Linked DNA regions of Astyanax mexicanus. The protein of the gene in region 1 purifies or fractionates together with the protein of each later gene. This does not show direct contact. Links are inferred from orthologs where the notes say so. Each region holds a gene or a part of one and is shown in the gene's direction. Other genes may lie near its edges.

Region 1 (15,958 bases):
AAGGAAAAAGACACATTTATTTGTATTTATTGTATATACTTAAATATGTATGTTTAAAGTAGATGCATATTATTAAAAATAAACTATATAACAATTTAAAATTAGAAGATTTTATATTATATGATTTTTTTATACACTTAAAGTATCTATTTTTTTATATTTTTGACGTGTTCAATTAGAAATTACACTAAATATAAGATTAAAACTCTTATTAAAAACTTTACTCATTTGTGTTATACTTGAATGTGTTAAAGTAGATATTTTTTATTATTATTATTATCATTTGAATTATCAAATGCTGGATAATTCCAGTTTTTTTTTTTAATAATGCAATAAATTGTGCACTCCTATTTCACTTCCGTATTGCCTGAGAGGTTTTGATACGATTTGTGTAGTTTTACTTTAGCAAAGGTTGTGTTTTCCAAATCTATACAGTAAAATGTTTTCATTAACTCACTGTTTTGATCTCAGGTGTCGCATCCATCTTGTATGAGACCCGTCTGGGCTGCTTGGAAGACGAGATTCCCAAGATGAGTCAGGAATACATCGGAGCACTTCATCTCATGTTCAGCTCCTTCAAGACCACCATGTACGCTGGTGCCATCCCCAAGTGGATGCGCCCTGTTCTGCCCAAACCCTGGGAAGAGTTCTGCAGCTCCTGGGACGGTCTCTTCAGATTCAGTAAGCATTAAAAGCAGGTGGATTTTGGGAAGGATGGTTTGTGCACTAGGCCTGACTGATGTATTAAGGTATATCTACTGTTTTAAGTGGCTTGTCACACACTTATCTGGTGAGAGAAGTTAGTTGTTGACAACTGAGTAATATTGACTGTGAGTATTATTAATTAAAAACCTTGGTATCAGTTTAAAAACTTTAAAATAAGTACAAAATTCTACAGCATTTGTTTTCTAGCACCCAAATGGAGTTTCTAATAGTATGTTAGTATGATTGAACACAATCCTTGTTCAATGCCACAGTAAAAGTGCATAGATTGCTCTTAAACACTTTTTTTGAGATTGCTCTTATAGCATCAGAATGGAAAATGACACACTTCACAGCACTTTTTTTATTCCATGCTTGGTCCACATATCTGGTCCTACAACTAGGTGGAAGGATTCCATTACTGTTTTTAAATAGATACAATTAATAATATCTACATATCTGATTGGCCAATTTTAAAACATACTGTATCACAGTATTTACATAAAAATTATAGCATTTGGCTGAAATCCTGATCCAGTTCTGTGTAGCATTTGGATACTTGCCCATTTGGAGACTTGCCCAAGGACATATATTTGTGTAGGGCAGTGGGCTTGTCTGACCACGGAATCAAACATTAGTTTTCAGAAAGTTTGCAAGGGCTAAAGAGTTTTTTTTTTTTTTCACTGCTTGTTAGTCAGATTTCGTTTTTGTTTTTTTTAAACTATATATAATTATAGTTGTCCAATATTTTTGGCTATTGTTATTTGTTTTCCATTAAACTTACTATTAGTTACATAAGAGTGCATCTGAGAATTTCATCTTGCCAACTGAATAGTCAATATATTTGTTTTCTTTCTTAGGCCAGATCCATGTGGACAAAAGGTTGTCCGATATCAAAAAGAAGGTTGAGCAGGGTGAGGAGGTGAAAGGTGGGCTGCTCACACACTTGTTGGTTACCAAAGAGATGAACTTGGAAGAGATCTATGCCAACATGACTGAAATGCTGCTGGCTGGTGTGGACACGGTAAGGATGTTATTAAATCCTACAAAACAACAAAATAAAATTTGTAAGAATGTTTGAAGAAGTTGTACACTCCGAACTAGCACTTTTTCTACAGACTGAACAGCTACAGGCTTCTTAGGCTTGTGCAAAACCTTCTTGCTCTCCAGCAGTGAAGGAGGGTGAATGAGACTTTGTTAGAAGGGGAGAGCCTTCTTATTTGAACTTCTTGTGAACTCTTCCCAAGTGGTCAAATCACAGCAAGGGGCCGAAACATTCAACTCCCCACGGAGAGCTTTCTGTCCTTTTTTTTTTTTACCCTATTGTATCTCTTAAGAAAAATTAGGAGATTTAATTCGGACTACCTCATAAAGATTGAGTCCAAAACATTAATAATATTATTAGTCAGGGCACAACTTTTGTTTTAAGGTATAAAGCTAAATTGAATTGTTGGGCTGTTTGCACACCTGATGTAGTTAGTTTTGTACAGCTCTGGTTAAAATTAAGAGACCTCTTCAGCTTCTGAAGGTTTAGCTGTTTATAGGTATATGTTTAAGTAAAATGAACATTGTTGTTTTATTCTATAAACTACGAACAACATTTCTCCCAAATTCCAAATAAAAATATAGTAATTTAGAGCATTTATTTACAGAAAATGAGAAATGGCTGAAATAAAAAAAGGTGCAGAGCTTTAGGACCTCAAATAATGCAAAGAAAAGTTGAGAAATCGTTTTTTTGTTTTTTTAATCACAGTTTTCATGCATCTTGGCATGTGCTCCTCCAACAGTCCACACTGTTTTTGAATAACTTTATGCCACTCCTGGGGCACAAATTCAAGCAGTTCAGCTTGGTTTGATGAAACTCATCATTTTTTATTTTCAAGTGGTCTCTTTTTTTTTTTTTTTTTTTTTTTTTTTTTTTACAGAGCTGTATACTGATTTTGATTTTGACTAATTTTGATTAAGTTAATATGTATATCAAAGCATTTTTAGATTAACCATCTTTTGTTTACTCCTTTTTTCAGACCTCCTTCACGTTATCATGGGCAACATACCTGCTGGCCAAACATCCCACAGTGCAACAGGAGATCTATGAGGAAATCACCCAGGTGCTGGGTGGGCGGGTCCCACATGCTGATGATATTTCTCAGCTGCCACTCATAAGAGGACTGGTCAAAGAAACCCTTAGGTATGCATGTGTTCAGCTGTCCATGAGGGGGTGCTCATAACATGATTTTGTATTTACAGCAGCGGTGTAAACACAGTAGTAATTTGTTGCTGTAGATAAATAATACATGGCATTTAGCTTCCTTCCTTTTTTTTTTCTTTATTTTCTTTTTTTTAAAGCCTCCTAGGTTATGAGTCCACAAAAAAACCCTTCCCTGCAATGTATAGTATATTAATGTGTATTTAATGTATAGTGGGCTGGGTTTGTTGGATGTAATTGCTCTCTATATTTTAACATTTTAATAAAATAACTCTCTGTCTTTACCTGCAGGCTTTTCCCTGTTCTTCCTGGCAATGGCCGTGTCACACAGGATGACCTCATCGTGGGTGGTTACTTTATCCCTAAAGGGGTAAGATTAGACACTGTGTGTCTTTTTTCTATAAGTTTGTCTCAGAATGCTTTGATGTGCCAGATCAGGAGTCTGGAGTAAAAGGCGAATGCTGATTGATTTTAGCTGCAGAGTGAAGATCTACTGTAACACTGCTCTGTTCTTTGTTACTCTCTCAGACACAATTGGCTCTTTGTCATTACTCCACCTCTATGGATGAGGAAAACTTCCCCAGTGCAGAAGAATTCCGTCCAGACCGCTGGCTCCGGAAAGACGCTTTGGATCGGGTGGACAACTTCGGCTCCATCCCGTTCGGCTACGGCATCCGGAGCTGCGTTGGCAGAAGAATAGCAGAACTTGAGATGCACTTGAGTCTTACCCAGGTGAGTGTGTGTGTGTGTGAGTGTGTTTGAACACAGAGACAGAACCTGCTTGTTTTTTTTTTTTTGTTTGGTAATCCAATACTGTGACTTTTATACCATAGCAGAGATTAAATCAACTATGCAACAGACTACAGTTAAAAAAATTTTGGCTGAAAAAGTTACAAATGAATTTAAATTATCTCACTAAGATTAATTAAAACCAACATGATTGAGCACATGACTAAATATTTTAAGGTTAAAATTATGATGTAACACAAATTGCATATAAATTGTTTCAGAACTAGTTATATGGAATGTAAAACATTTTAATCCCAGCATATGTGTTGTTAAATTGGTTGGATCCTGTAGAAGAAAAAACACACAGGAGCTAGTTTTATAACTCAGAGCACATAATCACATAATCATACATTCAAACCCTTTCCTGTGATGCTTTCAATTACAACAACAAAAAAATCATACAAACCTAGCCTGAATCAGCACAATCTCACCGCTGCAGGATGAAATGTATTTAAAAACAGCCCCTTTTAAAGCTTTATAGAGCAGCCTCTGTCTGATTTTACAGCTTAGTAAAGCAGACTGCACTTTTCCATACACCTATAAAATGTGTTTAAGGTATTTGTGGTCACTAACTCCTCCCCTTTGTTATTTGCAGCTCCTTCAGAAGTTTCGCATCGAGGTGTCTCCACTCACCGGTGATGTCCGAGCCAAAACCCATGGCCTGCTGTGTCCTGGATCATCAATCAACCTCAAGTTTGTTGACCGTGTGTAGACCCCTGCCTTGAATGTGTACATATGTATTTTAATGTAGTGTTTGTATTAAAGCATTGAGAATGTTAGATTGCACTTTTCATGTCCAGTTAAAAATAATCTTCCCAAACCAATTTTCTTATCGCTGATCAAGCCACTAATGTGGGTATGATCTAGTTTGGACTGTGCCTCTGTGCCTTTTTCTTGTTGCCTTTTTTTGGGGGGCTCACTTTTGAGTCTGAGTGGTGAGTTAAATGGCTTAAATCTGCCTGATGGACAAAGCCTTATGATACTTACAATTGTTGAATTAATTATGTTTAAAATGTTACATTTTATATTGTTTTTCCCCAAGCGTAATATTTCAAGAAAATACTATTTTTGATGACTAATGCAAATTCACCTATATATGTAAAAATGGCATATACTGTCCTTTTGATTTTACAAGCAGTGTTAGTAAAGCATTGGAAAGAGGGGTTTGGAGTGGGGTCTACAAGGGACCAATATTGAAAAAAAATGCTCTTGAGAATCTAAAATATCTAATGTGATTTTCAACTTTTTCATTTATCATTTTCATGTGATTTAAAAGATGTTTTGTACTACTGTGCATAGTTGTGATGTAACACTACCACTTTTATAAATAAATAAGTCTGTATTACATACTAAGATATATTGCTTTTTTACTTTAGAAAAGTCTGCAGATTAACTGAACTTTACTAATTGTTTTTTACTTCTCATGAAGTACTGAATGTGTAATTAGTGCCTAATTGTATTGTTGAAATATATTTTTACATTACATTACATTACATTACATTACATTTGGCAGACGCTTTTGTCCAAAGCGACTTACAATAGTCAAGTACAATGTAAAAAGAGTTTAAAGGTAAAACATCTTTGGATAGGGATAAAAGGAGGTCAAAGGGGAATAATAGGATAGAGGAGTGAAGGAGGGGAAGAAGGAAATGAGGTTAGAAGTAGTTAGTGTGTTAGAGGTGTTAAGAGAGTAAGTGCTATTTGAAGAGCTCTGTCTTCAGGAGTCTCTTAAAGATAGTGAGAGATTCTCCTGATCTGGTAGTGGAAGGTAGTTTGTTCCACCATTGGGGAACTCTGTATGAGAACAGTCTGGATTGCTTTGATTTGATCATGTTCAAAGTGTTTTTATATCAAATTCATTGACTGAAGTGACACAAATCCATGCTAATAGTGTTACATTGTTCTTTATTCATTCATGCAGTACAGTTTAGTTTTGTTATACAAACAAAATATAATAAAGGTGACTGTTTCTAACATGGCTTCAAGTTCTACAGCCTTTTTATTTCTTTATTTCATTGTGTTTAAATAAAATGTCATACACTCATATCTCAAACACTAAACACTCTTATACAGTTGCAAGTAAAACATGTAAACTCTTTGGAATTACTTTGATTTCTGCATAAATTGGTCATTAAAGGGGTTCTGATCTTCATCTAAGTTACAACAACAGACAAACACAGTCTGCTTAAACTAATAGCACACAAAAAATGTAAGTTTGCATATTTTTACTGAACACAACATGTTAACATTTACAGTGATGGGGAAAAGTATGTGAACCCCTAGGCTAATGACTTTTCTAAGAGCTAATTGGAGCCAGATGTGAATGTGATGAGATTGGATGTGTTGGTTAAAGCTGCCCTGCCCAATAAAAACGCACACACCAGTTTTGAGTTTACTGTTCTTAAGAAGCATTGCTTGATTTGAATCATGCCTCTCAGCACAAAAGAGCTCTCAGAAGACCTACGTTGTATAATTATTGACTTGTATGAAGCTGGAAAGGGTTACAGAAGTATCTCTAAAAGCCTTGATGTTCATGTGTCCATGGTAAGACAGACGGTTTGCAAATAGAGAAAGTGAATGCTTTAGTAGATTTTGAGCTTCAACTTCGTCATTGATTCTTGAACATTGTTTTCAAGAATCTGCTAATATTGACTGGAATCAATGCGACCCTCAACTTTAACAAGATTCACAGTACCTGCACTGACTACACAGCCAAATAACTCCAACTTTGTGGTGCATGCTCAGGAAAAGCTTCTTCTGCATTTCTCTCCCATACAACCTCTCCTTCTGCAAAGTGCACTGAATAGTTGAACAATGCACAGTGACAGCATCTGCAGAAAGATGATGAAGTAGGTTTTTGGAGCTCTGGATGTCTGTGGGTTGACTGACTGTTCTCACCATCCTTCGCCTCTGCTCATCTCAGAATTTTCTTGGTCTGTCACTTCGATTCATAACTAGAACTGACACCTAAAATCTTTCCCCTAAACCCTGATGTTGAACCATCTTTGTTTTCAGGTCATTTGAGAGTTTTGTTTTGAGGCTCCCATATTGCCGCACTTCAGAGAAGATGCAAAGAGGAGAAAAGCTTGCAATTAGCCCCTTAAACCTTTCTTATAATTGGATTCACTTGTGTATTTAGGTCAAGAGTCAATGAGCTTACCAAACAATTTTTGTGTTCCAATAATTAGTGTTAAAGGTATTCAAATCAATAAAACAACAAGGGTGCCCAAATTTATGCACCTGCCTAATTTTGCAAAAAGAATTATTGCACACTTATTCTAAATCCTATAAAATTCATTTCACTTTTGAAATATCACTGTGTTCGTCTGCTATGATATTTAATATATTTAACAAAAATCGCTGATCTAAACAACTAATGATTAAAGGGAAATCATGAAAATGATCAGGCTAACAAGCATGCTTGTCCAAAAAGGACAACATTCTTATATATAGCATTTTTATGCATTTATTTTGTATTTATTTAGGTTCACTAGTCACCAATTTCAACGAAACCCACAATGACCCTCTCTTCCCATCTAAACATTGAAAATGTACTTTAAATTTGAATTTAATACAAATAATCATTTAGATTCAGCCATATTTATTTTAATACTGTACATTTTGACCAAGCAAGACACCCTTGACTGTATACTGGAGTTAAGCACTTTTTACAGGGTTAATGCATTCTACCTTATTTTCTAATCTATTTATTTATTTATTTAGATTATTTATTTTATTATTTATTAAGTTTGATTATTTGCTTGAATTTTGAATTTTTACTAGTCATCCACCCATTTATTTACATTAAAAAATATGTTTATAAATTAGGGCTGTCAGCATTACAGACAAACCAAGTCTCCCTAAAGCTGCGGGAGTCTCCCGCATTTCGGTAGTGGCTCCCTGATGCCCGCGAGTCACATATAATCTCCCGCAATTCAGAACGAGTGCCCCAAACGCGCACTGCACGCAAACGCGCACACAGGCGACAGACTTTTTTTCTCTAATCGCGTGTGGGAAGGACAGAAAGAAGACAGAGAGGATTCTGATTGGCCTGTTCTCTGCAAAGAGTCTGTGAGACAGCCAATCAGGTTTGAGTGTGGGCGGGCAGTGTTTTTCCCCCCTCCCGGACGGGATTTGTTCAGAGAGTGAGAGAAAGCAGATCATGGCAGAGGCAATATTAATAATTGTTGTAATATGATATGAAATGTTTTTGATGTTGTGCAATTTTTTGTGATATTGTAACTGTACATTTTTGTCAAATAAAGGCCTTTTTTCAAAAAAAAAAAAAAAAAAAGGAAAGTAGAGGCAGGGCCTTCCAAAAAGAAAAAAAGATAAAACTAATTTCACCTCTGAATACTCTAAATTTAATAAAATAAAATAAAAAAAATTAATTAATATAAAAGTGAAGTTTTTTTTTGAAGGTAGTAGGGTAACCTCCCTGAAATCAACTTTTGCAACTTGGGATGTCTGGCATTAACACACTTAAAACACAGTTAGTCTGGAAACTGTAATGCGTACTTTTTTTTAAAGCATATAATTAATCTTGTGACAAAATGTGATAGAGCCTGATGACGCACTAGCAGTTTTATTTAGAGATATAACACAGCAAAGCTTTCTGTTGAGTTCAGAAGGTAGATTACCCTTTTATTTGTGCTGATGTTGATACTCTCTATCTCTCTCTCTATTTCTCACACACTACTGTGGTCACACACACACAGCTGATGGCACGTTTCCTCTTTTCAAGCTGGTGAGTGTGGAATATGCAGCTAATCTAGCATTTATTTCCTCCACAAAAACGCTCATTTAAACTCAATACATTAATTTTGTTTAAAAAGCACCACAACTACCCTGAGATATTATAATCCAGTAAAATAAATCTAGTCTATCAGGTGTAAACCACATTACACAGTTATTTTTGTCCAAAAAATACAATTAAGTACCAGCATTTTAAAAAATTAAATCATGATTTTATCCATGATTCAGCCATTGTTAATCATGGATAATACTGTTGTGAATAATACAATTATTTTTAAGTGACTGGCATCAATATTAAAAATCTAAGTGTTTCTAATACTGATTCTTTTATTCACATTTAAAACCTATTTTGAAAAGCTGAGTCTTTTCTCCCATTGTTCTCCCAATTTTAGATAGGCCAGTCATTTCCCCTATTCAGCTGCTAGTCAGCTGTATATCCCCAATCACAGTCATGCCACAACACCAGGAGGGTGAAGGCTAGCACATGCCTCCTCCGATACATGTGAAGCTAATCACTGCATCTTTTCATACTGCTGCTGATGTAGCAAAGCAGAGTCGTCAGCGTTCTCGGAGGAAAGCGCAGCAACACGGTTCTGATACATCAGCTCACAGATGCCTTGTGCTGATCAACATCACCCATCTACCCTGCTCTGGCAGCTGATGGCAAGTTACATAATCAGGATTCGACCATGTGGTCACCTTCAGTTTTTTATTTGGAAACAGACAGCATAATTTAAAGTAAAGCTATTGTTTTCTTTTACATTTAATTTAGTTTTTTTTTTTTTTTTTTTTGTGGAAAAATATGAAAAATATGAAAATCACTGCCACTTAAAAGAGGTGTTTACAGGTTTCTGACAGAAGAACTTGTCTATATTCTGAGATTCCCTCTAGTAGGTTCTAAGTCAAGATGTACAATCTCGATTATTCCATTTTTTAAATATTAAATCGCATTAAAACAGTAGCCTTCCAGACCCAGTAAATAAATACATACTCTGAGCCCCGTGTCCTGCTGTGGTCTCCGTACTGTAGACAGAGTGCAGGTCTCTCTGACAGGCTGATCGTGTGTAGCGGATCGGACTGGTCCATCGGCGGCTCGGCGCGGGGGGGAGAGAGCGGCGCTCCGGGATTAGTCTTCAGTCGAGCCGTGTTTGATACCTGCGGTTTCTACATATGAACAAAACCACGCCGTTAAACGGTTATCTGTGTGTCTGTATTTGCGGCACGGCCTCGCGGATACGACGCTTTTGGCCTGAATGTGAAGCGAGTTCGGTGATTAATCGCTCGGCCTGTAGCGCATCGACAGCGGCGGCAGTGGCGGCGGTTAGCGGAGCTGAGCTAGTGCTCTGGGGCCTCGGACTGAAGTTGCAGTTGTATGCGGACTTTACAACTTCTTAAGCCGGGTTTGGAGGTTCTTAAAGTCGGGCAGGGCCCCCACTTCCCAAGGCCTTCGGATGAGGAAGTGAAGATACACGAACCACCCAGGTGAGAAATAGGACAAATAGCTCTTATTTTCTGCTGTTATTGATTATTTATCCTAGTTATTAGATTCTGAAGGCTTTTAGCTGTCAGTCGATGTCTATTAGCAATAAATTCTCCTGTCAGACACTGCTTATGTTAGCTAGCTAGCCAAGTAGCTAAAAGTTAGCATATATAAAATAGCAGCGAAGTGAACGAAGGTTTGTGTGCTGGCATTCTAGCTCTAAATGTGAGATAGTTAGCTAACCTAGCTAGCTATATTTGCACAAATTGGATAGTTAGTTAGCTGTCTCTCCTTGGTCTTAATATAACTATAACGTACAAGGTTAGCCAGCTCTATTATCTAATTAAATAGTTTGGAAGGTACCTAGCAGACTGTCTAGCTAACTAAGCTAACTAACAGCTAATTAGCTAGCTAGCTAGATAGACAGTATGGCTAGCGCGCCTTCAGTGTAGCGAGCTAATCTTGTTGTTAGCTAGCTAACTTAGCTAACCTATCTAATAACGAGATAATGTCATGTTGGCCCCTGTATTGTCGTGTGCATATGTCCCATTAAATACTATGTAAAATGCTTCAGTCTTTATTATGTTAAAGACAAATATCCAAAACAGCTGGTTTTTCACCCGCAGTAATGTTTAGCTAGTTAGCTTATAAGCAAAGCGGACGTGCTAGCTAGCTCTCTTCATCATCATCCTCCAACTGCTGAAGATGTTTTTTGATAAGCCCCATTTTGACCGCTTGTAAAACACTATTTCCATTGTTATCAGGAATCTTGTGGCCTCGTTATCTAATGAAGATAAGTGGTTAGCTATGTGAGCGCACACACTGCCTACACACACTGTGTTTGTTGTATGTTGAAACAGTAAACTATAGCTAGCTAACAAGCTTGCTAGGTTAGCTAGCTAGCTAGCCAGCTATCATTGGTAGAGCAGATTTTGACAGCTGACAGACCCGCCAGTAGCACCAGTTTCCCCCCAATGTGATGATATCTGAGATCGATGTGTGATTTACTTTACTATTGTACTTTTAAATGCAGTTTGTGTAACAGTATTATTTTATTATTACGATTATGATGTTAGATGGTATTTTGTCAATTGTTGTTTGTATGTAAAGGAAATGCCTACATGAATGACACCCACTCAAAATAGTTGTGATATCTATGTACAGGAGAAAGGAACCCATTTAATGGGAGATATCCTCTATCCTGAACTCCTGGGGCCGACTGTGAGCAGTTATCATGGGTATGTAACCTATGTCTCCTGATAAAAGATGTACAAAGGTTTTATAAATTCTTATACATGGTCCATGTTTTAAACCTGTTTTAAACCCATATGTCCTGACAGACGAGCAAGAGGTTCTAAACTCGATCATGCAGGACTTGGTTGAGCTGCATCGCTCTAGCCGGCCAGCCATGTCTCTGTCTGACCTGGGCAAACCCAAGGCTTCGTCTCCCAAGAACCAGGTCTGATATCTTAGTCTGATCCTCCAACATTGACTCATGTAAACTTGTAAATAAGGGTTGGGCGATATGACTAAAAAAACTCTTATCTCAACATGTTGCAGGGAAATGACGAGATATGATATGATGAAATCTAAAAGTGAAATGTTAAAGTATCCACATTTATTTGTAACACCATAAATAAAATGTATGATGTATTTAAATAGTAAATATCTAAATATTTATCTCAGTATTTCACTTATTTAGAAGACTGCACTGGATGATTGGACAAACATTTATTGGTAGTAAAAATGCTGGAAAATGCACATAGAGTATTTGTAGGTGGTTTTTTTTATGCACAAATGGTAAGCCTGCGGCTTTGGCTGGGTGCATAATGTTTAGATGTGGTCCTACCAGCTTGTTTTCCACCCTATTATTTTACATCAGACTATCAATAATAACAGAGCCATTTGCAAAAAAAGCTTTTATTGGCTGGTTTATGGCATTGTGATGGCCCACAAATCTTCTGTAGTGTAGTATATTTTTAGCACAGAAATAATGACAATGCTGTTGTTACTCAGTTTTATGGGATAATGATGTCCGCTCATTGTCTGTCATTTCTCCTGAAACTATTCGATTTCACCAGACACCACCCATGTAAGATTTTAATTGGAAATAAATTGCTTGTGGGAAATTATTTTAAGTGTATTGATATTGACAATATATTGCCCAGCCCTATTGTACATTGTACTTCTATATAGATTCTGGGTATAAGACTGCAGGACATCGACATAATACAGATGTTACAATTATGTTGCTACATTAGAAATGCTGAATGTCTAAACACATGTCTAGGCTAATTTTTTTTTCATGTACAGATGGTAATCATGTGACTTTATTGGGGTGCATAATGTTCAGATTTGGTCTTACCAGCTTATTTACCACCCTGGTATTTAACATCAGAATTAAAAGCTGATGGTTACAGGTGGCTTTAAAAACAAAAATAACACAGATTTTACTACTGGTTTGTGGCATTGTGAAAGCTTACAGATCTTCTGTAGTGTAGCATAGTTTTTACACAGTAACAACAACACTGTAATTATTTATTTTGTTTTGCGGGCTAGTGGTGCTGTTGGCTTTTTGTTTTTACCAGTAAATAATAAGCTGAAATGTACCTTTACTTGGTTTAGCTGAGGACATCTTGTCTGTTTATGAGCGAGTGGACACAGGTAACTGGAAGAGATGGTAAAAGGCTATTGCGTTGGCTAGTGTTAGCTTTTAGCATAATGCGGATCATCGTTTGCTTTTTTTTGTGTCACGTTAGTTTTTGCAGATGTTAGAACAGGAAAAGTTGTGGTGAAAAGTCAAGTTACATTTTACAATTTTGCCAGCTTTAACTAGGGCTTTTGCTTGTAGATTGGTTGTTTGGAAATTTAAAAGCCATTAAATTCAGTATCGAAAAGCAACAATTTTACACAGTGCTGATGCAGTGCGCTGAAGTGTTAGAAAACTTATAAGTTTAGTTATTTGTTTATTTAATCTCTGCTTCTGAAAGGTATAATAATAAGCTTCACGATGACCTCCTAAAACTTTTTTTGCAGTTATCCGAGGATTAATGTATAATAGGAGGATGTATGTTGTTTTTAGGAACCTGGCCTCAAATGATTTCCCAACTGTTGTGGTTGTTCAGATACAGGCAGGAAATGTGTGTTTATATATACAGCCAAATACAGATTTTTTTTCTGTGCATTTTACGTACACCATTTCTGTTCATTATCTGACATTCAAAAAAACTATTGGCTCTTTCTGTATGGTTGTCATTTTCCAAACATAATTGCCATCATTGGAGAGCCACTAACATACTTCTGGAGAAAAGTTTCAGATTCATTCATATAATTATGCTTCACAAATGGGCTGAAACACAGAAAATATGGATTTTATTAAAGGAATATCAAAGAAATAAGAGATCTAGTTAATTTTACGGCAAGGCACTGCAAAACTTGTATGTGCTGTATAGTATGTGCTTTTTTTGGTTAATTTTAATTATTTAATTTTTTTTGGTTAATTTTATTCTTTAATTATGAAAAATGAACTGTAACTGTGCAACAATGAAACATGCAGGTCAGGTCATTTTGAGTTTTTCTTTGAAATCTTTCAGCTTTTCATATGATTGAATGTGTTTCCTATTTAGTTTAGGAAAAATGATTAAAGACAGGTATAGAAGTATCAGAATAAAGCTTTTGTTTCCATGCCTTTAAACAATATTGTCATTTAGGGTCCACAGTGACAATCATCAGTTGATGTAATGCTAAGTTTTGGACCGTGTTAATCTCACTTTCTTTCTTGCAGAACGATGTTCGAGTAAAGTTCGAGTACAGGGGAGAGAAGAGGTAATGGTTTCAACTTTTAAAAGCATGACTGTTACTTAGATTAATTTGTAATAGAAAGGAATCTGACTGCGGGACATGCAATGAATTCATAAAGTTTTTGAAGCCTGGAGAGACATTCCTGAAATGCTGGAAAATTATTATTTCCTGTAATGCACTGATATGATTGTTTTCGCCTCTAACTGTACAAAATGAAACATTTAGAACGTATTCTTTAGTGGTGGCCCATGCAATCACAAACCCCTGCAGAGGACTTTTAATATAAAACAATGGATGCAGACACAGCAGCATCTAAGTTCATGACAGACTGAATTTCCTTTGTTTAAAGGAACAGTCTACTAATGTATTAAATGAGAACAAGCTTGTGAAATGGCTACAGCAGTCCAATTTCAAAACACTGGAGAGAGCTTTTTGCGCACCCAGCCCTCACCAGACACGAAGCTTATGGTGTTTCCCAGATTGACACACACTGGCAAGCGATGACGTGTTCTACCTCTTCGTGAATATATATATATATATATATATATATATTACACTTCAATGTTTTTATTGATTGCACATTATGAACTAACTGATTTTATATGACTCTGTTAGCTTGGTTGGCAAACCTTACTGAAGCTCGGTGATTAGCTGTTTAGGAGAAAAATAGACAATTCCCCTATTTCCATGACTGCAGCACATTGTTTGCATGCTGTTGTTCTATACCAGGCAGCTTAAGGTGTGGAAATGGGACTGTGGGAAGTAGGGGTGGGATACGATCACGATATTTCATGGTATTTTGGCGAAAACGATACTCTTGGCAATATAAAAAAACACTGAACTGATTTCAAGAATACATTACTGCAACTAAATAAAAATATATATATTGTTATTGCATACATACTGCACACCCCTAATTGAGATATTGGAAGAAGAATTTTATCAGATTTTTGACAAAAGTCAATGGTCTAGAATGTCATGATACTAATAATGCACTCCATATATCTCCATATATCCAGGATTAAAGTAAAATAAATTATACTGGACAGATATAATCTGTCTCTAGTAGATATATAATGGGAAATGAGAACAGTGTTCTTACAGTGTTATTTTGCTAAAAACAGCAAAAAGTAGTACTCTTAATGTGATAATTAGGGGTCGATGATATGGTACAATATTTCAGGGTATAATACTGTTCACAATATTCAAAATTGTTGGCGATATTATTGCGTATGATATGATATGGTATACCCCTAGTGGGAAGTGTGGGGGGCGGAGGCTAAAATCCACACAGATTACTGTGATGTACCACACAGTTCACATATGAACCGTATGAAGCTATCACATATGAAGCTCCGCTGTCGAGAGCTGCTAGTGCTTAAATTCAACATTTTTTCTTAAAATCTGCTGAAACATCCTGATAATGTTATGATTTACTAAAGAAAATATAATCTAATGGTCTTTTAACCTTTAGCCTCCAGATGGCCCTGTTGTCTTTTGTCTTTGAAACAGTAAAGTGCTGCTGCTACTGCAAGAAAGCCTAACATTAGACTAAACACTGCAATTGTATATGCTTTTTTTTTTTTTTTTTTGCTGATCTGGCTAAACATTTTGGTTCCTATTTATTCAGTTCATCCCTAATTTATTTATTATTTTATTTTAATTAATTTTCTTTTCCTTTTTAACAAATGTGTATGTTGTGTAAATGAATTAGGTGTTATTCAATATATGTGTTTTGTATATATTTTCTAATTCAATGTCATTTTGCTTCTTTAGGATTCTGCAGTTTCCTCGGCCCCTCAGGCTAGATGATCTCAGCACCAAAGCTAAAGTGGCGTTTGGGCAGGCCATGGACCTGCACTACACCAATAATGAGGTACCGAAATTAGAACGTTTGTCCAGTTCTCAGCCATTGTTAAAACGGACAATCTACAAGCACAACTCAAGATCAAATTAGACGAGCTACGCAAGGTGCCGCATAGGTCACTAAATCTAACACATAGACACTTAATAACGAATGATGAAATACCATCTTGTCAACCGTGCAACATCCCGCTAACGATGAAACACATCCGCATCGACTGTCCTGACTATAACCTTATGAGACAATCTTACTACCAAGAAAAGAACATAAAAGACCTCTTTGGGAAAAAAAAACCCACCCGGAAAGATCTTAAAGTTCGTATCGCATCTTAACCTCAAACACCTAATTTAATAAATATGTA
Region 2 (15,118 bases), on another chromosome or scaffold:
ATATGAAAAAGTCCTTCAAAATCACACTGGAACATCAGCTTTACATAAAAAAATTGTGCATTATGGATCGGTATTCCATGTTGCCAGTTCATTTTAAAGTATAAAATCAGCTTGGGCCAAGCTATTTCCAGGTTTTCCTTAAATTAGAAGACTAGTACTCTTTAGATCATGTGTATTTGGTCTGGCCCAAGATTAAAAAGTCCTTCAAAATCACACTAGAACATCAGCTTTATATTAAATTTTTTTGTGCATTATGGATCGGTAGGCCATGTTGCCAGTTAATTTTAAAGTATAAAATCAGCTTGGGCCAGGCTAATTCCAGGTTTTCCTTAAAGAAGAAGACTAGTACTCTTCAGATCATGTGTATTTGTTCTGGCCCAAGATGAAAAAGTCCTTCAAAATCACACTGGAACATCAGCTTTACATAAAAAAATTGTGCTTTATGCATCGGTATTCCAGGTTGCCAGTTCATTTTAAAGTATAAAATCTGCTTGGGCCAGGCTATTTCCAGGTTTTTATTAAAGTAGAAGACTAGTACTCTTCAGATCATGTGTATTTGGTCTGGCCCAAGATGAAAAAGTCCTTCAAAATCACACTAGAACATCAGCTTTACATAAAAAACATTGTGCATTATGGATTGGTATGCTATGTTGCCAGTTCATTTTAAAGTATAAAATCAGCTCGGGCCAGGCTAATTCCAGGTTTTCCTCAAAGTGGGAGAGAAGTTCTCTTCATCTGATGTGTATGTGTTCTGGCCCAAGATGAAAAAGTCTTTCAAAGTTTGCCAGTTCATTTTAAAGTATAAAATCAGCTTGGGCCAGGCTACTTCCAGGTTTTCCTTAAAGAAGAAGACTAGTACTCTTCAGATCATGTGTATTTGTTCTGGCCCAACATGAAAAAGTTCTTCAAAATCACACCTCATATTTTTTGAGCGCAATGGCTTTTAAAATATAATTTTATTAAATATATATTTAATTATTTATTGTAATATATAATTATAAATTCAGTAATTAAAATAAATATTTTACAATATACAAAATTATATTTAATAATATATTGTATATTTACATTTTTAATAAACAGATGTACTGCTTTTCTTCATTCTATCTCCTTCAGTGTTGATCTGTGAGGTGTTTAATATAAACAGCGAGTGTTTGTGAACGCTCCTTTTAGTTCACGGTGCTTCAGTGAAGCGGCAGCTGCGAATATCAAACCAACTTCAGCCGGGGAATACGAGGCTGCGAATATCGAGCCAAACGAATCTGGAGCTGCGAATATCAAACCAACTTCGAATATCGAGCCAAACGAATCTGGAGCTGCGAATATCAAACCAACTTCAGCCTCGTTATGTGCTGAACATACCTTTCCAAAATGTACTAATACATACATATTACTTTTTACTGTCTTTTTTCTTTAATTAATTTAACTAGATTTAGATTGCCTTATGCCAATGAATGCCCTTTTTTTGATTAATAAAGAAAAAAGCAGAGAAAATCTGTTATTATACTCCACACACTACTAGATCATCCTATGGTATTTGCCTGGATGTGCAACTTCAGTCCCAAAATGTTAGAACCCTGTGTAATAAATGTATACAAGTGTTTGGTTTGTGTTCACACATGGCTTACTCTATACATGGTACAGCTTTAAATTACATCGAAAAGATTGGAAAATTGAACTTTGACTGCAAGGGAACAAATTACTGTTCTCATCTACCAGTAAATATGCACTATTGAGCATACACAAAAACATACATTAATACACACACACACACACACACACAGCGAAGAAGAAGAAAGAAGCCAGGATCCACAGTAATAATTACTTACATTAATATTTTTAGCAGATGGATTTCCACCTGCATGATGAAATCTAATAATAGAATTCACATTATTTTAACACATTTTATCAAATGTGGATGAGATCCCTCTCTGACAACCTATATGCGCTGTGAGTGATTTGATCATATACTGTTTAAAATGTGTCTTGGGGGGTTTACACCGGTCAAAATTCAAATCCAAATAAGATCCAATCACTAAAAAACAGAATGCACATCAATATGGTCAAACATCTTCCTCCAGGTTTCCTCTTGGAACCAAAGGTATTATTAGGGGGGTTGTCCCCTTTTTACTGCAGCAAAAGCCTCTACAGTTCTATGAAGATTTTGCTGTGGAGAGAATTTGATTGCAATCAGCCTCACAAGAGTGAGAGCATCAGTGAGGTCAGGATCAGGTAATGAGGTTTGATGATGAGTCCTGACACTCTCTGTCGCTTTTCTTAAAGATGAGGATGGAGCTCTGGACGGAGCTGTATCACTTCAGAGAATACAATTCCACTATTTTAAAGCTCTTACTGCTTTTTTAACCAGCTCACAAATGGCACTGGGCACACTGACCTTACAGCCATGTGCTCACAGCTGCTTAAGAGCAGCCCTTTTCTACTGGTCAGTTTGTCTATATGTGAGAGCAATAAGAGCAACAATTCGAATTACAGCATTTTTCCTTAATTCTATGCAGTTTAAACAGAAACAAACCCAGTTTGGTGTAAAACAATACGCTTCCTCTAGGAAAGTTATACAATAAGTGATTACACTCAAAACACAGTTTTAGTAGTTTTTAGAAGATTTTGGGCCTAAAATGTATTTGTAGGAGTGGTGAAGGGATACATGCAGGGTGCGCAGCAAAACTAGCCTCCAAAAGAAAATTCATTTGTTTACACTGTCCAAATACAAACTTAGAAGAGACACTTAGGTAGGTTTGGCTAGCAATTAAAATGTCTACACTTGTGTTATTGTCATAGACTGTGACGCATGGTTCCATTTCATCTGGATACTTTTGGAAGTGTAGTGTATTTTCTGTAGGCCACTGAAAAGCTAAGATGTGGTTTAAGTTTAAGGTGCTGCTGGACAAGAATAAACCTAAAATCGTACATATAGGTCGGTGCATTCATGTAGGTCAGTACTGATGTGTTTGAATAAACCTTTTTGGGGTTTTTTTTGGCTTTTTAGGGTGTTGAATGAGAATAGTCTTAAGTCATGCCTGTGTGCACATAAATAAGTCCATGTGGTAGATGGTCACTACTGGTCACTGATAAATGTGTTAAGCATTATTTCATTAGGTTTTACCTACCATAAGGAACCAGTATTTTAGTGAGTGCTTCCTTAGCTGTAAAATATATGTAAATGTACAGAGCCTCTTTTAAAGTTCTAAGAACCTAAAATAAGGTTCTTTACCAAATAAAGGTAAGTTAGCTTATGGACAGGAACCCTAATTTATTTCTAAAGAGTTTTGGTAATGTACACATTTGGTAAATGAACTGGGTTTATAAGAATCTCTATTTGGCCTGTGAACGTGGTAAATTACAGTGTGTGATTATGTGCACGATAATAAATTCACACAATTTAGCATGATTTATGAGTACATGTTAACGCTAACTAACCTGGAAAAAATATATTTCCAGCATGTAATTAGGACGGTTAGGATAGGTTATGCTGGCTAATAAGCATGAACTGCTTCAGACCTGTCACTAAACTGAACTCAGTGCAGATTTAAGTGTTAAGAAGTATTTATAAGGATAAAGTCGTGAAGATAATTTGATATAATACATTTAGCTATTGAGAACTTTCACCGTTTTGTCTCGCGTGATGCAGGGCGAACCAGCCTGACCTGTGTGTGTGTGTGTGTGTGTGTGTGTGTGCGTGTGTGAAACACCCTGCGCTGCTGCATTTTGTGTAACCTAGTAAACTAAAGCAGAAACGAAGCCTAGCTGGCTTAGCTAACCTAGCGTTAACTAACGTTACCTGTCGCTAGCTATTAATCAATGATCCCATCGATCAAAAAAATGGGGGGTCGGCTGAGGTAAACGGCAGTTTTATATAACAGCATCATTTCGAGGCTGACGGGGGAGGTAAAAATAGATTTTTGGAACTGTTTTTGAAACAGAAAAAAATCCAAGTCACAAACTGTCTGTATGTACGTTATATGTGTGTCTGATGCAGTATATATTGTGGTTATATTGCCTGTTTAGGTGTATTTTGGTGTGTGATATTGTGTCTATATGGTGGTGTCTGGTGCTGTCTCTCTTACCTTCAGCTGATGAGGAGATGCTCTTCCCGGTTCCTTATTTGGCGATATGTGTAAATCCAAGTCCCCAACTGCACATATATACCAGTCTGCTGCAGCACTGGGGTCCTTCAGTCAGTTGATAAGAACAGTAAATATAGTGATAAACGGTGTGGATACGGATCTATTCTCTGCTGGTTCTGAGGGGAGGGAAGCGCTAACGGCCAACCGCTGCTGCAGTGGCGGCAAAAAAATGGGGAAAATGATGCTAAGCTAAAAGTTGAAGCGATGCTGAATGGACGAAAGAGGCTGGGGAAAGTGGCCGCGGAAAGCGACAGCGAGCTGTTAAAGCGAGTTAGAGTGAGAGGAAGTGAGGCGCGGAGAAGCTCTCGGGAGGGTTATGAGGTCCACACACTTTTATATCTAATGCTTTCGACAAAAGGACGATATAAAGTGGGTCTCATGTAACTGACCGCACTGTTACTCGCTTTCCCACCCGATTTTATGAACATCCCGCCTCCGCACGACTACGATTGGGTGGTGTTATCCCGTCCCCGCGCTGGGATTGGCTACTACCTTATATTCGGAAGCCGTCTGCCTATCAGGGAAGACAACCTGCTAGCCAATCCGCACAGGAGGAGGGGAGTGCCATAAAACGGGTGGAAAGTTAGTAGCAAGATTTTTTTTCTCTTCAGTATTTGCCAAGTTTAGAATCTCTATAAGAACTAAGGCCACTGAATTTTTTTTTGCATCAGCAGGTCTTTTACCCACTATTTATGCCCTAATATGGACAAATTCCTCTTCAGTATGACACTGTGTGCTGTTTGGAGAGGTTTAAACACAGTCTTTGCCACAAACTGCGAGACTTTTTAGAACAAGAGCAGAGCAAACACAACAGAAAAACACTATTTTGAGTCATATGAGTATAAAATTATACATGTATATTTATACATGTATGTTCTCTGCATTGCTGTTTGTTTGTATTTTGCTGACTATTATTGGACTGGAGTATTACTACTTCTACAATCTTTAGCAACTCAAAGGGGTCACATCCAGTATGGTTGTCTTTAAGAAGGCCTATCCTCAGCTCTTTTTATCTGAAGGCTTAGCAGACTGGGCACTAAAAACGCTAAAAATACCCTGTCATTAAGTCATATGTAGCTCTGGTAATGTATGATGTGTTGGTTATGATATAGTGGAGGTCCATTATGGAGAGAGAATGTGAAGTTAGGCCATTAGATGATAAAGTGGACATCTGTCGTGTGTCTGTTTGGGCTCCCAGCCAAACCTCCTCCACTATCACACCTCACACAGTTGCATTAGGAGGTGTGAGATGAGACAGACACACAGCTAAACATGTGTGTCAGCGCCATCTCTTTCCATTGAGACTGTAGCTGAATTGAAACAAAAATGCCAGACAGGTGCCTAAGCACAAAGCTTTTGTGGTTAACACTGTTTTATGATATATAATCATATTTTATAGTACAGGTATTTGAAAATAGTTAATAACATAATTAGTATTATCATTAATATAGTAGGGCTGTTTAAATTTAAGAAAATTGTCCCTAAAAAACTATATGGATATTTCAGACAGTTTTCTTAAAATATCTATTTAGAGAGAGTCAGTAGAAGGTCTAAAGCCAAATCACATTTGATATCTTGATATAGTATAACAGAGGATGCTAAGATGCTAAGAATGCTGCTAACAAACACTGGGTTTAGTCTGTCACCAACTGAGATTGGGATGTGAAAACTATATGTATGTGGTCCAGGGTTAGGTGTGGATTGCACATAATTGTGCAAGGATGGGGCGAGGGTTTGGACAAGGCCTCTATAAGACCTAGGATTAGAAAAGGCATTGTGCCTAAATATGGCTTGGGATTGTTTTTTAATGTGGCCTGGAATTGATGTCTTTGGTACCTAGGATTGGGCCTGGATGTGGCCTCTTTGTGAGCCTGGATGTGGGCTGGCACAGGATTAGCCAGGATTGGGTTGTATTGACATGCCTGCCGAGAATTGTGAAATTATCTTTCTTTTCTAATTTTAATGTGTAAATATTCTAAGATTATTTACTTATAAACATAAACAGTAGTTGTATTGTGTATTATGTCACATGGACTCAACATAGATTGAACTGCATTTCTACTTTTACGTATTGAGGCTGCAGTTTTTCTTTTTTTTGTCCTTCAGAAGCCAGAATGCACTGAATACAGCTGACAGCCTTACCCTGTGTCTTATGTGCAGGATTTGACGTACGTTTGTTCCATTAGACGCTTCAAGAGCTGAGGGGTAAAAGCACTTAAGGGCAACTTGAGTGCTGCAGTGTCGTGAACAGGAATAAAAATCATGCTCCTATTCAGTGGAAGTACTCAATTAGATCAGCTAAAGGCTTTCTGCCTTCTGTGTTAAGCAGGTGAAGCATTCATTTCCAGCCTTATATATATTTCTATACCTCCAAGCGATCACCAGATCCCATTCTGGGAACCACTGAGCAAAGGCAGACAGTTGACGTGTTCCATTGTTCAGATTCTTCTGGCTTTATAAGTCACAGAAATGTTGGACCCTTCAAAGACTCCACCCCAGCAGCAAACATTCTCCAGTCCCCATCCATTAAAGCTGTTCCCCCTCCAGCATGAGCATCTCCTGCTCTCACACATTCACGCTTGTTGTAACACTACAGAAACCATGTGAAGGAGATTGGATTGGCTCTCCCAGTAGCTCTCAGTTCTGACCCACATCTCAGCAGGAGTGTTTAATTAATGCAGAGTCATGTGATGCTTAATTTCTGCAGCATGTAAGAGTAGCATTAATCCTGCATTTGTCATGAGCTTCAAATAAATGTTAAACTGGTTCTTTTAAAAAGATATTTAAGCGCTGAATACAATCTGCACACACAATAACAGATCAGGCCTCTGGTTTTCCTAATGCAGTGTGTATCATTAATTTACAGTGTCAGTCTTAGTATAGCAGAGCCTTTGTTTCTTTGAACATATTTAAACATTTAGACCTGTCAGTATCGGTATAATTTATAACAATTTATAAAGAGTGAGATCTGACACATTTGTCCAACACACTAAGACAAATTAAATACAGATTTGTACTTAAAAGAGTACAAAGCTTGTTGCGGTGCTGTACCTTATTTTGAGGTAGAACATTCAGTGAAAGTCTTTGTGCACTCATGTTTTTGTACCAATAAAAATGATAAAGAATATAAACATTATCTTCAACTGAGTATGTGTCAAGAACTTCATGACCCAAAATTATCTGGCATTTTAAAATGAAAAATGTATAATAAAAATGTATATTGTTTATTAGTACAGTGATACAGAATACCGAAAGACTCATGGGCACTTCTCCTTGATGGAAACAAAGTGAGAAAGTGGAAATAGGTGCTGTAGGCAAGAAGCCATGCGGAGGAAATGAGCTATCTGCAAGTACGTTCTTGAGGGTGCACAGGGTAGCTTTATCACACTTTTTGCTTAACAGTGGAAGAGATAGTGATTGGAAGCTGATAATCCTGCAGCAACATTTTTGTACCCTTTCCATTTTATTTAAGTTATTTGTCCACTTCAGATTGACCTAGCATACTCAAGAATTGGATAAATAAGTGTTGTGTATATGTATTGTAGATACATAGATAGATAGATACTTTATTGATCCCCGAGGGGAAATTCTAGACCAGATCCCCCAAGAAGGACCACCACCATCACTCCCACATACTGACCCCAAAACCCAAAAGTTCAGAGCAGCATGAGAGCAACGGGTACATCTGGTTTCTCCCAAACGCTAGACATCACATGATGACATCACTGATTCTTTTGGCATTACTAAGACTTGTATGCTTTGTCTTGTCTTTAAGATCATTTGATAGGACATCTTACATTTATTACTACTAAAATTAGATTAAAATGCAGCACATTAGCTGCAGATGATCAGACCATGATCAGAGAGGGCAATATTTCGGTTGAGGTGAGCAGTTTAACCATAGTCACATCCGAACAGCCCTCTGAGGCCTTAAGAAAGAAAGTTTTAGATGCAGATGAATCTGGCAGTATATTTACAAAGATCTCAAAACAATTAAAAATCACTCTTTCCACTATCCCCTAAATCATTTCCAGGTAAAATTGCTAATAAAATGGCCAGGGCATGGCATCCGAGCTGCTCAAGAACAGACCCCCCAAGTTGCGTAAAAAAAAATCTCAAAGAAACCAAACATTTAATCACAAGACCCACAGATAGCTCTCACCTAAGTCAGTGTTAAAGGGCAGCATCTACTATCAGAAATAAGCCAAAAAGTCATGTGAGAAACTTTGCTGCCCAAAAAAATAACACATTGGCATATTAACATAAGGCACGATAGGTGCAAACCTAGCACAGCATTTAAGCACAAGAACCAAAGACCAAGTCTTTGCATGGAAGTGGAAACATCATTGTTTGCTGCTGCTTTGCTGCAAGGAGGGCCTGGCAAATTCCATATTTTTTATTTTTTTAGCCGGCATGTACATATTTCGTTAAAAAACAGACTTAATCATTTTTTATTTACATACAGTAAGTTATATAACATAACCATAAACAAACTCTCCAGTAATTAAACGAGAAAAGAACACGTATGCTTTGATCGAACAGCGCCCTCCTCCGACTGGACCTCCACAAAATGTATGAAAACACATTTAACAGGGATGTTTAACTTATTCCACTAAACAACACATTTAATACAAAAAAAAACACAATTTCTTTCACAGATTCATCTGTTCAAAGGACAGAAATGCAGTTAATAATAAAATTGTTGATACAAGATGACAATATTTTCGTTCACTTATTCAAATGATACATTTTAAATATCTACATACTACATACTACATAATATTTATTTCACCTTAAGAAACGCAACCTCGGACTATTCAGTCTTGCATATTTAGAAACATAGCGCGATGTTGAACTGTGGGAGTTGTATTCCATTTTCTGCTCGCATCTGCAACACCTTATACGGTTACACAGCTTACTTACTACATTTCCCAGAATCCTTCGCGCGTGGTTGCGAAAACGTTAGAGAAAATGAAGAATTTCTCCGCAGAGTTCGCTTACAGGTGAGAATCTTTAGTTTTGTGGTAAATGTAGTGGTAAATACTTGTATAGAAGATAAAAACGGAAGAATGTTAGAGTAAACGTCGTTTTAATGCGCAAATGTGTGAGAGAACGGAGTGATGGCGAAAAGTTCCCCCGCGTTTGGAAAGAAGCCTCTCACGAGCTGCTGTTAGCTTAGCCTAGTTAGTGGCGAGCTGTAGCAAAAACACACGTTTATACAAAAACAGCAAAAACAGATTACGGGGTGGGTTTAGTTTATAAGTTGTGCTTGTAGTCGATCTTTTCACGCTGCTGTCGGTTTGACTGGAAGAATATTTACGCATATCTGACAGTTGGAATCGCGTAGCTTAGCTTAGCCAGTGCTAACGCAGAAAATAGATTTATATTCTGATCTTAGTTTTGGGTTGTTTTAACCCGGATTATTAAAATTGAGACTGGAGACCGACAGTCCGTCTCTTTCATATAAAGCGCCAGACTGTTATTTTCTTTAGGTAACGTTACTTATAAAAGGTTGACTTTTTGTTTGACAATGAGAAACTTTAGCCTGAATTGTAGCTACGTTAGCTGAGTGGTGTTCAGATGTGTTGTGTTTATGCTCTTACAGCCCTCTCTGTATGACTTTTTTGGATAATTCAGGTTTACTTCAGTAGCTAAATTAGATGTCTATAGCTAATGTATGTGTAATAAAGGTGGTTTCATTGCGACCTTCCAGCTGATAGAAACACACTTTAACTATATTTATTTTCCATTATAAATCAGGAAGAAACATAATTGATAGCTGGTTCAATTGGATGTACTTTAAGGTGTTATTGCAAATGTGTATCATGTAGTTTCAATAGGTTCCTTCATGATTTGCTGAGGTGCTTTTTTCCCTGATTTGGAAAAACGCTTCACAAATCCATCTGAAAGGAATTTCACCAGTGTCACAGTCAGAGTGGGGTTTGGAGTGAAATTAGGCCTCCTGACCTATAATGTTAGTGGATTTTTTTACAGTGGTGAAACGTGGAACCAGGCTTCACCAGGGCTACCACACAAATATAGCAGTTTTGTCTACTTTTCAAACCCACCAGTGAAACTACACTTGTCTTCTGAGTTTTATATGGATGTTGATGATTGTTAAATGTGGGAAAATATTTTCTTCAGTAAAATGCAAGGGACTGCTTTTGTTTTCACTATAATAATGTTATAACAATATAAATAAATATACAATATTAAAGACATGTATTAGACCAAGATCTCATGTATCAGGCAATGTTATTCATTTAATAACAATCTAGGAGGGAGCTTTTAGAGGTTTAGAGGCTTGGTTCCATTACCTGCCACTGCAAACAGTTATGACTGGGTAAGTTTCTCTAGAAGGGAGTGTTTTACACCAAACCCACTCCGAAGGATTTTAGTCACATTGTTTTCATTGAATCATTTAAATATAAAGGGTATTTTTCTGGGTAATGCTGATATGTGTGTGGAGATCTCATGTTCAGAAATTTTCTTTGTTTTTCCCCTCATAAAATTATTTATTTGTTTATTTATTTATTTCAGCATCTTTTATGCCTTAGAATTAGGCAGACTAAAAGAGTCCTGTTCTTGTTTATGCTCTGTGAAAATGAGCTCAGGCTAAAACTGTCTTAATAATGTTAGCAGGAATTGGTCTGGCTAAAGTGCTGTAGACTTAATAGATAGGCTTGTAAACTTGTGTATTAAAATCAGGTTGTTTTGCAGCATTATGTTAAATATACATATATTAAATAAAGTGTTTACATACTGTGTATAGCAGGATATGTTACACTCAATTTACACCTTCAGGATTAAATAATTCTCACTTTTTTCGGGTGTGTTGTTTGTGAGAAACTGATTAGTTCCTTGTGTTATATAATTATTTCTGTGGTTTCCTTCATTCTGGTTTGAGTAGTGCTGGCAACACCGCACCTTAGGATGAGCTGTTTGAAGCGTGTTGTTTAGTGTTTGATTACTGGAAACTACTGCTCTGTCTGGCCTCCTGAACCTCAGCCAGCTGAGTCACAGTCGCTCTAATCCATCTTATATTTGCACTTCACCCAAATCTGTTACCTAAATCTGTACAGTCGAGCATTACCACATCTCTCAGTGGCTGTAGACTGTTAGGTCTGCACATTAATTTATTATTTACTCCAATCATTTTTTTTGCATAGATTTCTCATCTAACCTGTCCAAGATATAAGCAATGAACTGTGTTATACCAAAGGCACCACCACAACTCTATCAAAGATAGTACTCACGTAGCAACATCCTATCAACCATGGCGATATGGAGAAAAAAAAAGAAGATCTTATCAGGATATAGTTTTCCATGTCAGTGGATATGGATATTTATCATGATATAAATCAAATCACTTTCTGTCACACTTAAATGTTATTTTTACCCATAAGTAAGAGAATATAAATAAAAATATAAAACTTAAATCCTGTATATTCAAAAGGTCAAATGTTACAGAATAACGAAGTAAACTAACTGTAAACTAAATTCTGTTTTGTTGAAATTCTGGTCAGTTCCAAATAAATAAATGCTTATTAGCATCATATTTAAGCATCCGGCAGAACGCGTTAAAAGAATGGCCAAGAAAGGCGTTTAATGTAGCTATATTGCTAGAACTTACAATGATTGCTGTTGGCACTCTCACCACCATACACACACACACACAGAGCATGAGCACAGAGCACTCACTATCTCACTCACTCACTTACTATCTCACTCACTTACTATCTCACTCACAAACTCTATTCAAGCTACATGATTGGTTCAGCGTGGCGCTAATCCTATTCTCATTAGCTGTTTCCATTGTCTGTCTGAAACGTCCCCGGAACGAGTCATGACAAAGTTTTATTGACTTTTTTTTCCCCCCGAAGTTTTATTACATTACTATTAAGGGAAAGTTATTTTGCAATAATTATCATTATCATTTTATTGCACAGCACTACTATTAACCATGTATGAGACCATCACAACCACCTAGCAGGCCTATAAGTGTAATCTGGGACAGTGAGATGGCTTAGCAACACCCAATTAGAAATGTGGTGATGTCGCATCAAAGTAGCCAATTAGCAATGCTCAGCCACCATGCACGGTACCAATTAATTTAGCACTTTACAGTATTAAAAAATTAAATAATGTGAAAAGTGAGTGTATCTGACTGTATGAGGTGGGAGTATCTTTACAGTGTTTAATGCTGTATTCTGTTTGCAGGCTGTGAAGGCCCTACTCTACATGGCTTTGATGGATTATGAACTCCGGTAAAGCGTGCTACAACCGTTTTTCAGGAGGATTGCCCATTGATGCCACTGTTAGTAGTTTATCTGATGTCAGTAACTGGGTGAGAAACACAGCGCTGTTCACGTCAGTAACGAATACAGTGGAGGTGTGAATTTATGGTACTTTTTAGAAAAAAAAAAGCGTATTATTAAGTAAGACCATAAGTTATTTTAATCACACCAATGTCTGACTGTTTGTGATGCTTCATGCAGACCAGAATGGAATCTACTTTTGGACCCACGTTTTCTGCAGTCGCTCCAGTCAGCAAAGGTAAACACAAGCTGCTTGGCACTGTATTTATATTTCTGTGAATATGGAAACAGATGATCTGCTAGGTCTGCATTGTAAAAATGAAACACTGGCTCAGCTTGTTATAGCTTATTTAGGTGATTGATTATCTTTACATCAACAGCAACATATTAGAAATTGTTGCATGTAGATAACTTGAACTTATAAAACAGTAGTGGAGATTGACCCAGTTCTACCATTGATCAGCCTGAACGCCCTCGGGCTGTGCAGTGAGATTGATCCATTGTAATAACCATGTTGTGAAATTTCAGCCGAGACGACCGGTAATTACAAACAGCACCGCAGGACCCCTTCGTCCTCCAGCACCCTGACCTACTCTCCACGGGACGACGATGATGGCATGGTAATCACAGTCCAGCTCTGCTGGAGTCCACTTCTTAACACTGCCTATTACTTTAACAGCGTGCCTGTTTACCAGAACCAGATGAAGCCAAAGACTATGCTTTGAAGAGTTTTTGGTGATGAATCAACACTGGTTATAAAATTTAACATACAGAGTCAGTTTAAATGTCTAAATGTATAAGATATCCTTACAAAACAACAGACACTTAACATCTGTGGTGTGAGTTGGAGTGATTCCTTTTAAGATGTTTTAAAGTGCTGAAGTACTTTTGGATGATTTTTGTATGTACTTTATTTTCAAACCTGATCAAAATTACATACCAGCACTGAGGTTTTTTGTGGCTGAGTGCAGTCAAATACTGCTCAAAACATTTAGCGTAAAGCTTGTAATTTTAGATTTCAGGTGCAGTTCAGGAGGAACTTGAAAATATCAGGTCTCTGGATGCAGTTGGCCATTTAGAGACAATTTCCTAAATGTAAATTTTAAAGTAAATTAATAAAAAAGTAAATACAAGAAGAAGGTTCTATGTTCTGGACTATTGCAGATTTCTGTGTGGTTTGTAATGGAACAATGACAGATTATGATCTGGGCAATAAATTGTTTCTTTATCGGTCAATAATCTGAATTTGATAGTGAGTTCTGTAGCCTGACACTGATACAGATATACAGTATACAGTACATTGCTCTGCTCTGCTCACACTGTGTGTTCAGCAGAACAGGTGAAAAAGCATGTTCAGTCCATATGCTGCAGTGCAGTGGGCATTCGTTAGTTCTGCTGATGAATTGCTTTTCTGTTTTTATCGTTCTCTGATTACTGCTGAGGTCTGGCTCTACCTGAGAGACCAGCAGGCTGTCCTCTTCTATCCAGCCAGCTGCAGTGTCCAGATCTTACTGCTTCCTGGCTGAGGACATATTTTTTAATAATTATGTGAACAGAGGAATTCAGGAATTATTGTTTTTACAGCTAAACATCCTGATTTTGTGTGTTTGTGTGTGCGTGCGTGCAGCCCCCTATCAGTACACCACGCCGGTCAGACTCAGCCATCTCTGTTCGCTCTCTTCACTCGGAGTCCAACATGTCACTGCGCTCCACTTTCTCTCTGCATGAGGAAGAGGAAGACACGGTCAGTAACACCCTCACCTAAAATACGCTAAGTTAGCAAAAAGTCTACATCTGCAACACCACATGATACAATACACATGGGGTAAACTGACTCAGTATTAGTATCTGATGTTCCACCCATCTGTCCTATTGTATGATCAGAATAGCTCATAATTTCTGTTGTCATCAATTTCTGTAGCAGTTCATTGCATGTTGCTTTTACAGTTAATTTTCTATATATGGACAGCAGACTACAAAGAGAAAAAGTGTGCTTTTCAAAATTTAAGGCGCAATTTTCCAGACAGAGATTTAGTCTAGTGAAACCTCACTGAGTATACAGCGTTTTGAATGAAGATTTGAGACTGTAAGAAAAGTAAAGTTGGGAACTAGGCTCCACCATTTATATAAAATGCATTTAATGTGCAGTTAGTCACACGCTGCTAAACCCACCCCTGCTTAAGGACCCTCCAGCCAGATCGCCAGCACACACAGCTGTCCTCTGTCTCTACATAAGGTTAATTGAGCCTTTTACAAAACGTCAAAATCAGCTGTCCATGGCAAAAAACAAATGTATTTTTTTTTTTACTCCCACTCATTCTTTCCATCCCCCTCTCAGGAGCCACAGGTGTTTGCAGAACAGCCATCAGTTAAGCTGTGCTGCCAGCTGTGCTGCAGTGTTTTCAAGGACCCTGTCATCACCACCTGTGGGGTGAGCATTCCACCCTTAAATTCTGGATACAGCCCACATATTGATTTCCTGTCAGTTTTGACCCGTTTCCTGTGGCTGTGTCAGTGACGACTGCAGCTCGGAAATTATTTTAATAACATTTATTTATGTAAATAAATTAATGTAAACTTTGTATGTAAATAAATTTTGACAATTGACTAGAAATACAACAAATAAAAAAGAAACAAATACACTGGTAATTTTAG

What was found.
Region 2: the proteins of map3k2 (region 1) and traf7 purify together in Homo sapiens (affinity purification with mass spectrometry; 3 studies listed by BioGRID and IntAct, with this or other methods). This does not show direct contact. The link is inferred for Astyanax mexicanus from reciprocal best matches to the Homo sapiens genes MAP3K2 and TRAF7.

The regions. Positions count from the first base shown.
Region 1 is NC_064412.1:37,839,977-37,855,934, reverse strand, and holds the start of map3k2 (mitogen-activated protein kinase kinase kinase 2), read left to right. Parts: upstream 1-9,500; 5' UTR 9,501-9,934; intron 9,935-11,096; 5' UTR 11,097-11,166; coding exon 11,167-11,170; intron 11,171-11,272; coding exon 11,273-11,391; intron 11,392-13,716; coding exon 13,717-13,757; intron 13,758-15,509; coding exon 15,510-15,609; intron 15,610-15,958. Other genes in the region: cytochrome P450 27C1, read left to right, coding at 472-681, 1,563-1,726, 2,727-2,890, 3,200-3,278, 3,437-3,640, 4,293-4,409. UniProt on the Homo sapiens protein: Component of a protein kinase signal transduction cascade. Regulates the JNK and ERK5 pathways by phosphorylating and activating MAP2K5 and MAP2K7. Plays a role in caveolae kiss-and-run dynamics.
Region 2 is NC_064426.1:13,725,169-13,740,286, forward strand, and holds the start of traf7 (E3 ubiquitin-protein ligase TRAF7), read left to right. Parts: upstream 1-9,007; 5' UTR 9,008-9,148; intron 9,149-12,365; 5' UTR 12,366-12,402; coding exon 12,403-12,537; intron 12,538-12,643; coding exon 12,644-12,701; intron 12,702-12,991; coding exon 12,992-13,083; intron 13,084-14,090; coding exon 14,091-14,207; intron 14,208-14,801; coding exon 14,802-14,894; intron 14,895-15,118. UniProt on the Homo sapiens protein: E3 ubiquitin and SUMO-protein ligase that plays a role in different biological processes such as innate immunity, inflammation or apoptosis. Potentiates MAP3K3-mediated activation of JUN/AP1 and DDIT3 transcriptional regulators.